Linked DNA regions of Cricetulus griseus. The protein of the gene in region 1 interacts with the protein of each later gene in a pairwise test. Links are inferred from orthologs where the notes say so. Each region holds a gene or a part of one and is shown in the gene's direction. Other genes may lie near its edges. The genes, in order: Cda and Plekhb2.

The links.
Region 2: the proteins of Cda (region 1) and Plekhb2 interact in binary tests that used the Homo sapiens proteins (3 or more experiments, as listed by UniProt). The two-hybrid records come from large-scale screens. The link is inferred for Cricetulus griseus from reciprocal best matches to the Homo sapiens genes CDA and PLEKHB2.

What each region holds. Positions count from the first base shown.
Region 1 is NC_048595.1:14,985,880-14,993,100, forward strand, and holds the start of Cda (cytidine deaminase), read left to right. Parts: upstream 1-2,318; 5' UTR 2,319-2,526; coding exon 2,527-2,680; intron 2,681-7,221. UniProt on the Homo sapiens protein: This enzyme scavenges exogenous and endogenous cytidine and 2'-deoxycytidine for UMP synthesis.
Region 2 is NW_023276807.1:13,221,943-13,229,159, reverse strand, and holds the start of Plekhb2 (pleckstrin homology domain-containing family B member 2), read left to right. Parts: upstream 1-3,072; 5' UTR 3,073-3,216; intron 3,217-7,217. UniProt on the Homo sapiens protein: Involved in retrograde transport of recycling endosomes.

The sequences.
Region 1 (7,221 bases):
AACTTCCTGTGTTGTCAGCTCCTCAGGATCCAGTGCTCTCCTCTGGCCTCCACTGGCACTTGCATTCACGTGCACAAGCTCACACAGAAACACATTGCGTAGAAACACATACTAAAAAGTAATAGATAGTAAATGTTTTTAAAAAGAAAAGGATGAAAGTACAAACTCAAGAGGGAGTGCAAACCAAGCATCTCAAGAAAGACAATAGCTCTGTGTGTGTGTATGCACGCGTGTTTGTGCATGTGTGTGATATTTTTGTGACTTTTGAAACTACACAGCTACATCATTCAAAGGATTTCAGGTTTAAGTGAAAACGTTTTTTGGTGTACTTATTTTCATTGTAAGAACTTTAGTGTATGACACTCATTATAAAGTTGTTTCTGGAATGTATTGTTCAGGCTTACAAACTTTCAAGACAAAAATATGGGTCAAAAGAGGCCAAAGGAATCATTTATTTTATTTATTTATTTGAGATAGAGCTTTCCTATGTAGCCCTTCTAGCCTGGAACTCTCTCTGTAGACCAAGGTGGCCTCCAACCCACAGATCTACCTGCCTCTGTCTCCTAAATACCAGCAGCAAAGGCATGTCTACCATACCCAGTCCTTGGAGGAATACTTTTTTTTTTTGAGAAAGGGTTTCCCTGTGAAACAGTTCTGGCTGTCCTAGAATTTGCTTTGTAGACCAGGCTGGCCTCAAACTCACAGAGCTCTGCCTGCCTCTGCCTCCCAAGTGCTGGAATTAAAGGCATGCATCACCAACAACAAGGAAATTGTGTGTGTGTGTGTGTGTGTGTGTGTGTGTGTGTGTGTGTGTGTAATATGTGACAGTGGGTGCATGCTTACCATGGCAAGCATTTGGGGGTCAGTGGGCAGCTTTGTAGAGTCGGTTCTCTCCTCCACCTTTGCATGCTGGGGCTCTGACTCAGGATGTTAAGCTTGCTGGGCGAGCCAGCACTTTACCCGCTGAGCCATCTGGCCAGGTCCTTTCCCTTTTTTTGTCTCCTCAGGGTGGGGTGCATAGACCAGACTACTCATTGAAGTCTTTTTGAGTCCTGCCATGAGGACACCATCACCCTTTTCCAAGCTGGAATTACACTTGGCCCCTAAACATTTATCATTTAGATCCACGGACCTGTCTTCATGCTGCAAGTCCCCATCCAAGGGGAAAGTGCAACTGGATGGGTGGGTACCAAGCTGGAGGGATAAGAGCCTCTTGAGATATGGATACGGTGGGGTGGGCAGGAACTAATAGAGACAAGTGTGGGGAGGAACTGAGGCAAACCCTGCCCCTGGGGCATTGGCACTGCCAGGTGTGACCTCATCTATATATGGCTGAGAGCTAACGGCCCTGGATGCAGAGGTGTCTGTGTCCCATTCTCTTCCTTTCTCCCATGCCTTCCCCGACCCAGCCCTTAGCACCACACAAGCCTCACTCAGAGAAGTTGCTGATTCATCTTGCATGCTGGCCATCTGGAGACACTTGGACGTGCCTGATTGCACGGCCTGGAATTTGGCCCGTTCTATACGATCTTGGCCAAGTCACTTGTAGACAATAACCAGGTTTGTGTAAAGTGTTCACACGTGCCATTTCTAGATCCTCCCATCAGGCTCTCTATTCGGCATTATCATCTCATGTTCACACCCATTGGCAGGCGATGCTGGCTGTGTGCCCACTTTGTAAATAAGGAAACTGAGGCTCAGAGAAGCAGTGCAGCTCTCCCTGGGTCATGGAAAGAGCTAATAAACAGACCTGGAGTCTAAGCCAGAGCCCACTTTAACCCAAAGTTTCCGTGCTTCCGTGCTACTGTAGTCAGAGGAAAACTGCCAACGTTCATCAAGGAACCAGATAACATTTATATGAGAGAGAAAAGGAACAACCAGGGTATAAATCCATTTCTGGTACCACCAACCCAATGTCCATGAAGAGAAAGGAAGGAAGGAAGGAAGGCCCGGCTTCCCTTCAGCTGATATGCTTTTAAATGCTGGGTTAGGACTGGGAGGAAAAGAAAGGAAACCACTGAAACCAGAGACGTTCCCGCGCTTTGCATACCTTCTGACTTGGCACACTGCCATGGTGGCCCTTCAGCCTCATCCCTTCTCTCAGTTAAAAAAAAAAAAAAAAAAAAAGCCATTAGAAATTTCAAGGGCTCTGGACCCTTTGAGTTTTGAGCTCAGGTCACACAGACCCACCCAGAATCCTCCTCCCATGGACGGTGTTTGTCTCCAACCATTCACTGAAGTGGCACTGGCCCTGTGACCCCCTCATGATCCAGGCTGGCACTGAGTGAAGGCTTTAAAGGAGACTGACTCACTCGTGGGCACCACACATCGGTCCACCCTGGGACTCCCCAGCTCAGCCGAAACGGTATCCTCGGGGCTCCAGCCCCGGGAGCCTCCAGGTCTCTGGTGTCGCGCGGGACACACCCCGGGGGAGGAGCCACCTCTCCCGGCCAGTGCAAGCAGACCGCCAGCTACAGTTTCCTCTCCTCTGCTGCAGCCAGCACACCCACCCCGGACCGGACCGACATGGCCCAGGAACGCCCCTCCTGTGCCGTGGAGCCCGAGCACGTCCAGCGGTTGCTACTGTCCTCTCGTGAGGCCAAGAAGTCAGCCTACTGCCCCTACAGCCGCTTCCCTGTAGGAGCTGCCCTGCTCACCGGGGACGGGAGGATCTTCTCTGGTAAGGGCTGGCGCCGTGGCCCCCTCCCTGGCAACCTGGGTGGGGCCCAGGTACGCGTGGAGAGGGGAGCAACGCCGCCCCTCCTCACTGGGCCTCTCCGGCCTCCTTGCCCAGGCTGTGGGGCAACTCAACTGTTGTTCTACACAGTGGTTCTCTGTTCTTAGAAGTCTGGGATGGGGAAGGGAGTTTGCAGGTGAGGCTGGAGGACAGGCCAAAACCAACCCCCCACCCCCACCCCCGCGACCTGCAGGACAGGAGAGGATTGACGCGTTCAGAAGGTCCTGCATGCCTAGTATTCGCCTGTTCATCTGTAAATTCTTCCTCTAACCTCCTGACCGGGGTTAGATCCGTTTTTTGATGAAGAAGCTGAAACCAAGAGACAGGTCCTAAGTCACAGCAGGTGATGGCACCCAGGGCTGGAGGCCCCCAAAGCCTCCCCTCCTCCTGCACACTAGGGTGCTGAGGACGGCTGGTGAGGAATGAGCTTCCTGCGTAGTGTCTAGGAGAGGATCCAGGCACGGTCTGGTCCGGGTGCCCAGCAGTCTGCACTGAGTTAATACGGATCTGCCCTGGGCTCATGTTGTTTAATTTCTGGTTTTATAGACACTCGCCTAGGCCAGAGTGGCTGCAGCTGCTGGTGGGATGCTCGCTCACATGCACAAAAGTCTGGGTTTAGGGGGAGGGCAAGAGGAGAGGAAAGAGAAGAGAGGGAAGGAGGGAGGGAGGGAGGGAGGGAGGGAGGGAGGGAGGGAGGGAGGGAGGGAGGGAGGGAGGGAAGAGAGGGAGGGAGGGAGCATGGACAGGAGACAACTACAGTGCCCCTTTGTATGTCTTGTTGACTGAGGTTCTGTGGTGTCCTGAATCACCTGGGTATTGTGTGACACTTTTCCTTGGGAGATGGCAACACACATCTATTCACCCCCAGGGAGGGAGCCCAAGACAGACCTGAGTGCAGATGCCTCCAAAGTCCAGCTCGGGGAACCAATGAGTTTTATTGGGGTCACTTACAGGAATGTGGATGAGGGGTCACTTACAGGCACAGAAATGACTCAAAGGCAGCTGCATCACCAAGGCCACCCCAGCATGGGTGACAACTCACAAAGCTGGGAACCTGGAACACGCTGCACAGCCTGCAGGCAGCTCCACAGGTTGGAGTGTCCTTTTCATGTGGCTTGCTTGCTCTAAACTCTTGCAGGCAGCTGGTCTGGTCTCAGAGTCTTCTTTGCAACTCAGCCTCCTTCATCTGAGAGAGATTCTCATTTTTTACGGTTTACTCTGGCAGGGGGAGGCCTAGCTAATCTGGTTGGTTTCAGGGGCTTCCAGACGGGGTTTATGGAGTACATTGAGTACATACATGGCTTGGACCAGGACTGTGGGAAGAGGAGAAGGAGGAAAGAGATCTGGGATGATCTTCCAGTCAGTAAAGTGCTGATCTCCAGAACTCACATAAAAATCTAGGCTTGGAGGCACTCACTTGCCAGTGCTGGGTAGATGGAGACAGATGGATTTGGGCCCTCTGGCCAGATAGCCTAGCCTTAGTGGCAAGTGCTAGGTCAGCGAAAACAAAGAACAGGGTGGGTGGTGTCTGAGGAATCATACCTGAGGTTGACCCAGTCTGGCCTCTATACTAATGCATCAGGATGGACACTGCGCGCGCGCACACACACACACACACACACACACACACACACACACACACACACACACACACACACACACGGCCTTAACCAGGAATTTTTAGCCAGCTGGAGCAGGGGAATGATAAAGTAAATGGCCAAAGGCAGAGCTGGTTTGTGCTGGGGACGAGGTTGGCATGGACCAAGAGCAGGAGTGTCCTGTTAACTGTGTGGGAGATCTCTTGCAGTCTCACAGCCAGTGTAGGAGGGAGGCAGGCGAGTGCCGTCGTATTAGTCAGGAAGCTTTCCCTTGTGGGTGACAAGCCTGCACGGTAGCTCCAATTTCAGGGCAGGCTGACCCAGGGACTTGGGTGCCATGCCATTCTGTTTTTTGAGACAGGGTTTCTCTCTCTGTGTAACACTGGCTGTCCTGGAACTTGCTCTATAGACCAGGTGCACCTCTAGCTCTGACTGCTGGGATTAAAGGTGTGTGCCACTACACCCAGCATGCTACACGCCACTCTTATGATGGGTGCTGCTTGCTTTCTGTTGCCTGGCAGATGAGTCTCTACCCCCTAGAGGACAAGGGCGCAGGCAGCCTCTGCTCTTCATTCTTACAGCCATTGCACCCCACTTTAGATCTCATCCCAAACTCAGGCTCTATGGGCAGAACCTTGTTGCAGGGTGGGAGTGCAGAAATGTTACCACTGAACTGAGAGAGGGTCCTTTTGTCTACTGGGACGCAAAAGTCACAAGTAAACCAGGAGGGATAGTCTTTCAGCTTGGTAGTGCTGGGTCCTCTAGTGCCCAAAGCTTGTGGTATGGACAGACTGACACAAGGGCTTAGCGCTCCAAGTCTGGAAAATGTAAGACTTGTGCTCCCCAACCTACAACTCAGAGACCTAGAGTTTCAGGGGCTCACAAGGGAGGTGCGGGGCTCTGGGCTTGGATTGCCCGTAGCCTGGCTGGTGCTCAGCAGCTAGTGAGTTCCGTTATGGCACCCTTGGCCTTTAAGGCTTGTCCACTTCCTAGAGCTCTGAAGCCTGAGGCAGGCATTGCTTCATCCCTTACTTTCCACAAACTTCTGCCTTCTCCACATTTTTCCTCATTATCCTCGCCCCGTCTACTCTCTGAAACACTAGGTCACCTTTTTGTGCCTAGTGTCACTGCTGCAACTGTTTTTGCTGTCTCCTCTTTGCATAACCAGCTCATCTTGCTCTACCTGTGATAGCAAGAGTCTTTACCTGCCATAAAGACTGCAAGTAGGCAAAAAAAAAAAAAAAAAAAAAAAGTCCCCTCCACATGAGCGTTTTATGGACAGAGCCAGGAGGAGGTGGGTATTTCATAGGTGTGGCATGCAACACACAGCCACTTCAGGTTTTACCAAGACCAAAGTCATCCCTCCCATCTGTCAATCACAAGCCTTCCTGAGTCATCAAGGGAGTGTCCCTCTGAACCGGTAGAGGCATCAAATCCAGAGCAGGCTGAAATGGGTCACTGGAGTAGCTATAGGTGGGGGTCAAGGCACAGGTGTGTCCAACCTTTTGACCTTACAAATGAATGTTGTCATTTACATAACAAAACACAAATCTCTCTCTTTCTCTCTTTGGGTTTTCAAGACAGGGTTCCATTGTGTAGCCCAGTCTGTCCTGGAACTCACAGAGATCCACTTGCCACCTCTCCCGAGTGCTGGCATTAAAGGTTTGTGCCACCATCACCTGGCAAAAAAAATGTTTTTTAAAGATTTATTTTTAATTGTGTGTATGCATCTGTCTGTGTGTGTCTTTTGTGTGTCTACGGGTCTGTGTGTGGGTATGAACACGTGAGTGCAGTTATTTTGCCCAGAGGTCAGAAGGTATTGGATCCCTTAGACCTGGAGTTACAGGAAGGTGTGAGCTGCCTGATGTGTGTGCTGGGGACCAAACTCTAGTTTTCTGCAATAGTAGTATGTACTTTTAGCCCCTGGGCCATAGCTTCAGCCCCCCAAATCTCATAATACTTTAAAAGGCTATTGTTTTGTGTTGAGCTTCCATTGTAGGTATCCTTAACTGCATGCTGCCCACGGGCTTCTGGTTGGATGTGTTTGGAAGTTCACTGAGGCGTGTCTTACCTAGAGCAAAGGTTTCTAGCTGTAGAAGTGACCTGAAGCAGGAGTCCTGCCCTCAATGGGTGTGTCTAGAATAGGCTTTGTCACTAGGGTGCATGCTTCCCTGAAAGGTTCCTGCTCAAGACCACCTGAAAGGGAAGGTCTGCTGGATGGTGTGCTTTCCTGACAACTTCATTCATTCACAGAAAAACATCAAAGCAGGCTCCCAGAAAGGACTTAATCTCACTACAAAACTAACAATCTCAACATCGGTAAAAAAAAAAAAAGGTGTGTTGTGTGTGTGTGTGTGTAGTTGGGCATATTGTCACACATGTTTAATCCCAGAACTCAGGTGGAGGCTGGCAGATCTCTGTGTGTTCAAGGTCAGTCTGGTCTACATGGTGAGTTCCAGGATAGCTAGAGCTACATAGTGAGAATCCTGTCTCAAAAAGATTCTTTAGTGGGGTGTGGTAGTGAAAGACCCTCGGATCGAGGAGTCTTCACAAATCAGACGGTCCCCCCAAAAATACTCAATGTCCAGTCCAGCTGATGTAAAAACAAGAGGTAAGTTTATTGTGGGACATTTCGAAAACGGGCCTCCCAGTCTGACAAAGGAAAGCCCTGTTCCTCCAAAGCAGGCTTCTTTTATAGGAGAAAACCATAGGCTTTTAGGGGTTAGGGTGGTGACCAGAGTCACAGGTCCTTTGGAGGTCTCTTATTTTGGGGGCCGGATGGTCTCCTGACTCAGTGGGATAGTCTGTTCTTATCTTCATGACCCAGGGCAGGGTGGCCCTCTGGGAATTCTTGGTATTTAGTTAGGTTGTCTTGTGGCCTTGTAA
Region 2 (7,217 bases), on another chromosome or scaffold:
GTCCAGGCTGTATGGAACTCCCTGGCGCCTCTTAGACCTGGCAAGATGTTGACAGAGCAGAGGACAAGGTTAAGTTTAGAAAAAAATTTTTTCTTAGGTCCTGTCACTTGAGGGGAAGATTGTAAGAGGAGGGAGGGGTTCCTGAGATGTCCTAACACGAGGGAAGGGAATTTGGGACCGGGGAAAGGTTGAATATTACCTGGAGTGAATCTGATTGTTTGGATCTGATTCTGCTCCCTGGAACTTACAAGAGTCCTTAGAGTTTGTGGAAACATAAGTATTAGACACATTAGCAGCATATTTACGTTAGAAGCAACTTGGCTAAAAGCTTTACCATTTTAAAACAGACAGATTTTTTTTAGGACAATGAAAAGCATCTTAATCTTGACTTTGTAGTTATGATCCTATAGTGGTATTGGTGAACTTTATTATGAACAGTAGCATGAGAAATAGAGAAATCCGGAACATATTTTATTCTTTTTAATGTCTCAACTCATTTTATCATCATTTAAGCCTTTTTATCCTCAGGCCTTTGTAACTACATTCTCAGACTTTTATACATCTTAGACTTTCCTATCTTCACATAGATAAACCCTAAAATACCTGTTCCTGGAATCTGTTTTGCTTTAAGTTGGCAAGACTACCAGTCGTCAAAAGCATCAGAGTTCTTGAGAAGGATAAGATTTTACCTGAATCAATGATTAAAGAATAACAGAGACTTGCCAGCAGGCTGCATGGACAGCCACCCCCAAGGTCCTCCATCCATAGAAGTGGGCTGCAGGACACCTGCCTTCTTGCTGATAACTTGTGACCTGTGGATTACAGACTTTGGGAAGACTCGCCTACCGTTGGCCCAAGCAACGCCGGGAGAGTCAATTCCATTGTCCTCTTGTCCAAGGTCTGGTATATTTTGTAATAGTTGAGGTGAAGGGCAGGGTTGCTCAGTGACCAGCGTTGTCACTGACTCGAGATGAAGCTTCTTTAGTGCCCATCAGTCTTCTCGGAGGAAATGGGGTGGGGCCAGCAGCTGGCCTATCTCTCTGTTATAAAAAGCTTTTTAACAAAACATTTTAAATGCCATATTCTCTAGATCTCTGAGCATTTGAGGGCTGTCATCAGTTTAGTATCTCAGCAGTTAAAAGTTTGCCTTTAGTTAGAGAAAAATTCCTTTTTGTAATAAAAGCTGTACCTTTGTAAACGGCTTATAGGATAGACTGAGTGGCATAAATATTTTGTTAATTTGAAATAATCTTTATGATTTTAAATTTTTATCATTATTTAAAGATATATGAGTTAAATTTAAGTTGTATAGACTTAGCTTATATTTTAAGCATAGTTAAATTAGACCTTTATGACTTTAAATGTTTACTATCATTTAAAGATACATAGCAATTTAGAAACATGAGACTTAACAGTTAAATTTAAGTTGTATATAGAGCTAGATAAGTATAAAATTAAATTACAGGTACAAAGACAAGCAGGACTGGATAACAGTAAAGGGGGAACCAGAATGTAATCTCTGATCCGTACATTGTAGCAAATGGACAGGAGATTTAAAGGGAGAGAGTAGATTTAAAAAGAGGGCCCTGGAAAGGCATAGTATTTAGTAAACAAGCCATGAACAACAGAGCCAGTGAAAGAAAAAAAAGACAAAAAATAAAAAGCAAAAAGATCTGGCAGAAATCAAAAATCTGATAGACAGGTTCAGGCATTATGCTGGCCTGCCCCTGTTACCTGGTGGAACAGGCAGTACCCTGGTCAGCCCAAGGTTCCATGGGAACTAAGTCTGCACGCAGGTGCAGAGGACCCCTTTAAAAGACAAGTCCCTGCCCCTTTACACTCTCTGTTCCCTCTCTCTGTTCCCTCTCTCTGTTTCCCTGCTCTGTTTCCTCTCAGCTTCCTTTCTACTCTCTCTCACCTATGTGCTCTCTCTATGGTGACCAGCCATGGTGGTCAGCCATTTACCCCTGTTCCTCTTCTTAGTCTCCCCATTCTGCCGGGCCTTATAATAAACTTATAGTAAGTATGTCTGTCTCAGCATTTCTCTTTTCTTCTTTTTAAACAAAAGAGTAACAGGTGGTCCTGAGTCTTATGCTTGCTCAGGCCTGTTCCCATTCTGGGGAGTATTCGGTGCCTTGTCCAATATACAAAAAAGTATGGTAGTATATATAATATATATATATATATATATATATATACATATATATATATATATATATATATATATATATATATATTATGGAAATGGGCTCCCCTGGATTCCCAGGCTGTCCTTGAGCTCACTATGTAGGCAAGAATGACCTTGGGCTTCTTGAAGTCTTCCTACTTCATTTCCCAAGTGTTGCAATTACAGTTGTGTACCACCATGCCCTCTTTATGAGCTAGTTTTTTTTTTTATTTGTTGTTTGTTTGTTTTTTATGACAGTGGCTGTGTAGCCCAGACTGGCCTGAAACTCGTGATCCTCTTGACTCAGCCTCCACAGTTCTGGGTTCTGTGCTAACACACACGGATCCTTCCAAACTCCTTTCTTTCTTTCTTTCTTTCTTTCTTTCTTTCTTTCTTTCTTTCTTTCTTTCTTTTTTCTTTTTCTTTTTTTTCCCCTTTGGTTTTTCATACAGGGTCTCTGTGGCTTTAGAGGTTGTGCTGGAACTAGCTCTTGTAGACCACGCTGGTCTCGAAATCACAGAGATCCTCTGCCTCTGCCTCCCGAGTGCTGGGATTAAAGGCGTGCACCACCACCGCCTGGCCTCACTTATTTCTGTAATCGTTTTACTTTATATTCTAAGTTATAACAATTCTTTGTGACTTATTGCGAAGGATTCCAGCTTTGTTCCTCGGTTGCTGTTTCAGTTTTGACATCTTCATTTTCTAGTTTCCGAGCACGCTGTTCTCAATTCTGGCTCAAAGCAGGCTCTGCTCGCCCTTGGTTTACCCCAGTTAGGCAGTCATACAACTTCTCCGGGAAGCTGAGTTTGGAGGCCAAGTTCAGAAAACTTAGAACCGCCTTTGAGGTGATAGATAACTAAGCCCCAGTTAGGAGGAACTGCTCAGACTCGGCGCCGGCCGGCCCTGCACCCAGGCAGGCACCTGCCTCCCGCGCATGCGCGCCGGGCGGTGACGCAGGACCTGGACTTGCGCGTTCAGCAAAGAGCAGAAGAAGCCGGCGACCTTGCACTCCCAGCCTGATTCTTGCCTAGCGGACCGAACATTCGCAGGTGACTGTGCCCGCGGTGCCCCACTGCGCCCGCGTGCGACCCCTTCCCGGGACCTCCCCTGCCGGAGTACCCCATCCGGCCCTGCTCCACGTCCCTCCGGGGTGGGGGGTAACCACCTTCGCCAACACTCCCTCTCCAAGCCCGGCTCTTGGGCACTCCAACCTTGCTGGCCGCGCCCACTTCCTCAGCCTCACGTCCTCTCTTCGGTGACCCCTCTCAGCCACTGTTGCTTCTCCCTTCCCCAAAGTCCCCCCGCCACCACCCCTTCTCGCTCTCTTCCCTTTCTCGAATGTCTCCATTCTGACCCACGCCCCTCCCTCTTCTCTGATGTCGCCCTTCCTGATTGTATCCCGCCCCCACCAGCTCCTGCCTCTCCGGAGTCCCTTATCCTGATTGTATTGCCTCAGCCTCTGCACTACTTGTATTCCCTCCACCTCCTGTCTCCTTCCCTGTCCCCAGTGTCCCCCACGCTGGTTGTATTCCCCTTCGAGGTCTCTGTCTCTTCCCCCTACCCTGTTCATTGTCTCCATCCTGATCTGTCTTCCCTGCGTAGTCTTTCTTAATGCTCTGTCTAGCCTAGCGCCCCCCCTTTCCCTGGGTCCCCGCGGGTTTCCCCAGTGTTCCCCACCATAATCTTTTCCCTCCCTTCCCTACTTCTGGCCCATTCTGGTGCCCCTCCCCTTCTCCTAGAGCCCTTTCCGGGCTCCCCAAAGGCCCACATCCTGGTTATATCCTCCCCAACCCAGAGCATCCTTCCCCGTGTCCCCTATCCTGATGGTATCTTCCGTAGAGCCGCTTAGTCCTGACCCCCCCTTCTCCACCCATGGCGGGTGAGGAGGTGGTGGGGGCGCACTGCTGAGGATGGGACGTCTCAGGCCCCGCAAGGGACCGCTACTGCCTCACTGAGACCCTCGGGTTACTTGTCGCCTGCCATTGCCTGGCTCTGGTGGGCCCTCCTGTTCTACTGCACTTCCATGGTCGGCAGTCTTACCCTGTCTTTAGTTCAAGCGTAACTCCTTTTTATTACATTTAATTGTTACGCAGCTAGACTGAGACCTTGGGAGGTCAGGGATTTTATTTGGGATAAGCAGAAATTGTTTGTTGTATCTTAACTTTCAGATGCATAGTGGTTTACAAAGAGACCTCATGAAGGAGTGGAGTAATTCCCAGTGTTTTAGAGTAGGTGGAAAGGTTACAGATTCTAGAGACTGCATGTCTAATTCAGAACACACTGATTAATCCCTCCAAAGAAGCCTACCTCCCTCTCCCTCCCTCCCTCCCCCTCCCTTCCTCCCTCCTCCCCCCTCTCTGTGGTGTGTGTGTGTGTGTGTGTGTGTGTGTGTGTGTGTGTGTGTGTGTGTGTGTGTGTGTGTGTGTGTGGTTTACTAGGATAGAAAGACTGGTCTCTTGTGGTCTTTGAGGCAACCAGTGCAGGAAGTGACTTGTCCCACTTTACAGGAAACAGTGAGGTGGCAGCTGGGATTTACTGCCTGCTGACTTAGGGTGATGTGTGTTTGCTGAAGGAGTCATTGACCAAACATGGCTGTGTGTCTGCCAGCCTGTGCTGTGGTTTTGCCTTCTAGAGTGGAGAAGGGCATGTAGCTGGGAGTACTGTTGCTGCTGGCTCCTTCCTTAGGGTGCTTGGAGTGTTTCCTGGGCCCAGGAAGCTTTGCCTCTGTGTGGTCAGCAGGATTTGGTTAGGACAGATGGCCCCAAAAGAGACCCTCTAGCCAGGCAGGTGCTTGTCCTGGTTTCTCTAGTGTCTGTGATGTTTATTTTGTGTATGAGAGATTTCCCACTGTTCTTCCTCAGGGCAGGAATCAAAGGTGTTTTTCTGTCAGACACACAGTAGATGTTCAGTAAGTAAGGATGTTAGCATATCTTTGTAAGTAAATTCCCTGATAATAAAGACTGAATTTATGAAACTGGTGGCTCCTCTCACTATGTCTGTCTGCTATCTATCTCTTATCTATCTCTGGAAACTGTACCTTTAGGTTGTAGGTTTGCAGAGAGCCAGTGATCTGAGAGGGAGGCCGTGTTCATACCGTTGAACAGGCTCTAATAAGTCAGCTGCAGTTGACAGGTGGTACAGCAAGGGGGAAACGGAGGCAGTCTGACATTGCACAGTCTGCTATTCCTACTCAGTCTTGGCCTGCTGGTCAGGAGATCAGCCTAGACCCTGAAGTTCATGATGTCTATGCATTCCTCCTGATTGTCTGTCTGCTCTTCTCCGTTACAGTCTCTGTTAACTGGGTTTGGACATTCTTAAAATATCAAGTCCTGTGTTCCTCCCGGTGCCTCCTGGGCCAGAGGTTAACTCAGAATAGCAGACCATGAACAGGGGTGTGTGCAGATTCCTTTCTACAATACATCTTACCAACTTGTCCCTAAAATATAGAGGATAAAAGTGCTCTATCTGCCCTTCCTGTTCCTCGCCATTCCCTATTGTTAGTAATAAGTGGTATCTGTGAGTACTGTATCATAAGGACGGCGGCATCCTGCTGCCACGCGTTTAGTTTAGTTTAGTTCCTGTAAGGAACTTCCTGGCATAACCATACCATTTGCAACCAAAAGAAGTTAGACAGATGAGATGGGTAAAGAAAAACCAGTGAAGTTTCCCTGAGGCCTGCAGGGCTCAGGAGCCAGGAGGCCAGAAGACTGGATCAGAGCTGAAGAAACTCCCTGAGGAGTTTGTTTTTATCCGAGAGTTAGTGTTATGAACTGTCTTTACCTTTTGTTGAAATCTGAAGTTTTTTGTTTGTTTTATTTTTGTTGTTTTAAGCACACCCTATAAAAACAGCACATTGTTTGGCAGTTTGTTGCATCCTCTCTCCTGTCAGAGTGGCTGCTCAGAAATGTGTTCCTGTAGCACTCGCTAGAGATGGGGTGAGTGGGTGGATGGGAAGTAGGTTCTCCTTGACTCCAGAGAACTTGACTGTGCTTTAGCTCGTATTTTATATGTGACTTCTTTCTTTTTTTTTTTTTCCAGCCTTTCTTCTGTATTAGTGGATGACAGACAACTTAAAAGAATTACTTGATCAGTGTCAGCAACTACCCAAAACTTACACAGTACAAGCTGAGAGAGGAAAGATGTAATTAGATGGGTATTTCTTGTCCAAACCAGGACCATCTGCTCAGGGGTAGCCACACCCACAGTGGTCTGGGCCCTCCCACATCAATTTTTAATAAAAAAAAATGCCCTACTGACTTGCCTATAGGCAATATGATTGAGGGTTTTTCTCAATTGAGGCTCCTCTTTTCAGGTAACTCCAGTTTGTGTCAAGTTGGCAAAACCAAAACAGCACATACTCCAAAACAACAAAACCAACCTACTTGTAGTTTACTTTCTTTTCTTTCTTTCGTTTTTTTGGTTTTTTGAGACAGGGTTTCTCTGTGTAGCTTTTGGAGCCTATCCTGGCACTCGAACTCAGTGAGTTCCGCCTGCCTCTGCCTCCCGAGTGCTGGGATTAAAGGCATGCGCCACCAACGCCTGGCTTGTAGTTTACTTTCTAATAATTCTCATTGCCTTCAAACTGGAGGGGGGAACTTTAGTGACTGTATTATAGCAACTGAAAGTCAGGAAGCATGATTATGATTATATGTTTTTAAAATTCATAAAGACTAGTGTGTCTAAGTATAGACTTTGGACCCAGAAGACCTGTATTCAAATCCTGTCTCAACTCATCACATTGGGCAGCTTACTTAGCTTTCTGAGCCTTGCTTTTTCATCTGTAAAGTGAAAATATGCCATCTACTTGGCAAGATTATGCAGAATATGGCTGAAATAATGTACAAGTTTTTGACTCGGTACCTGACAGAAAAACTCAACCCAAGGTAGCTATTTCTACAGCAAGTTAAAAGTACTGTGAGAGTCAATTTCAAACATACACAATGATTTTTAATTCTGACTGTCAACTTGACATGATCTGCATCACCTAGGAGACAGAGCTCTGAGCTGTCCTGTGAGGGAGTGTCTAGATTGTGTTAACTGAAGTGGAAAA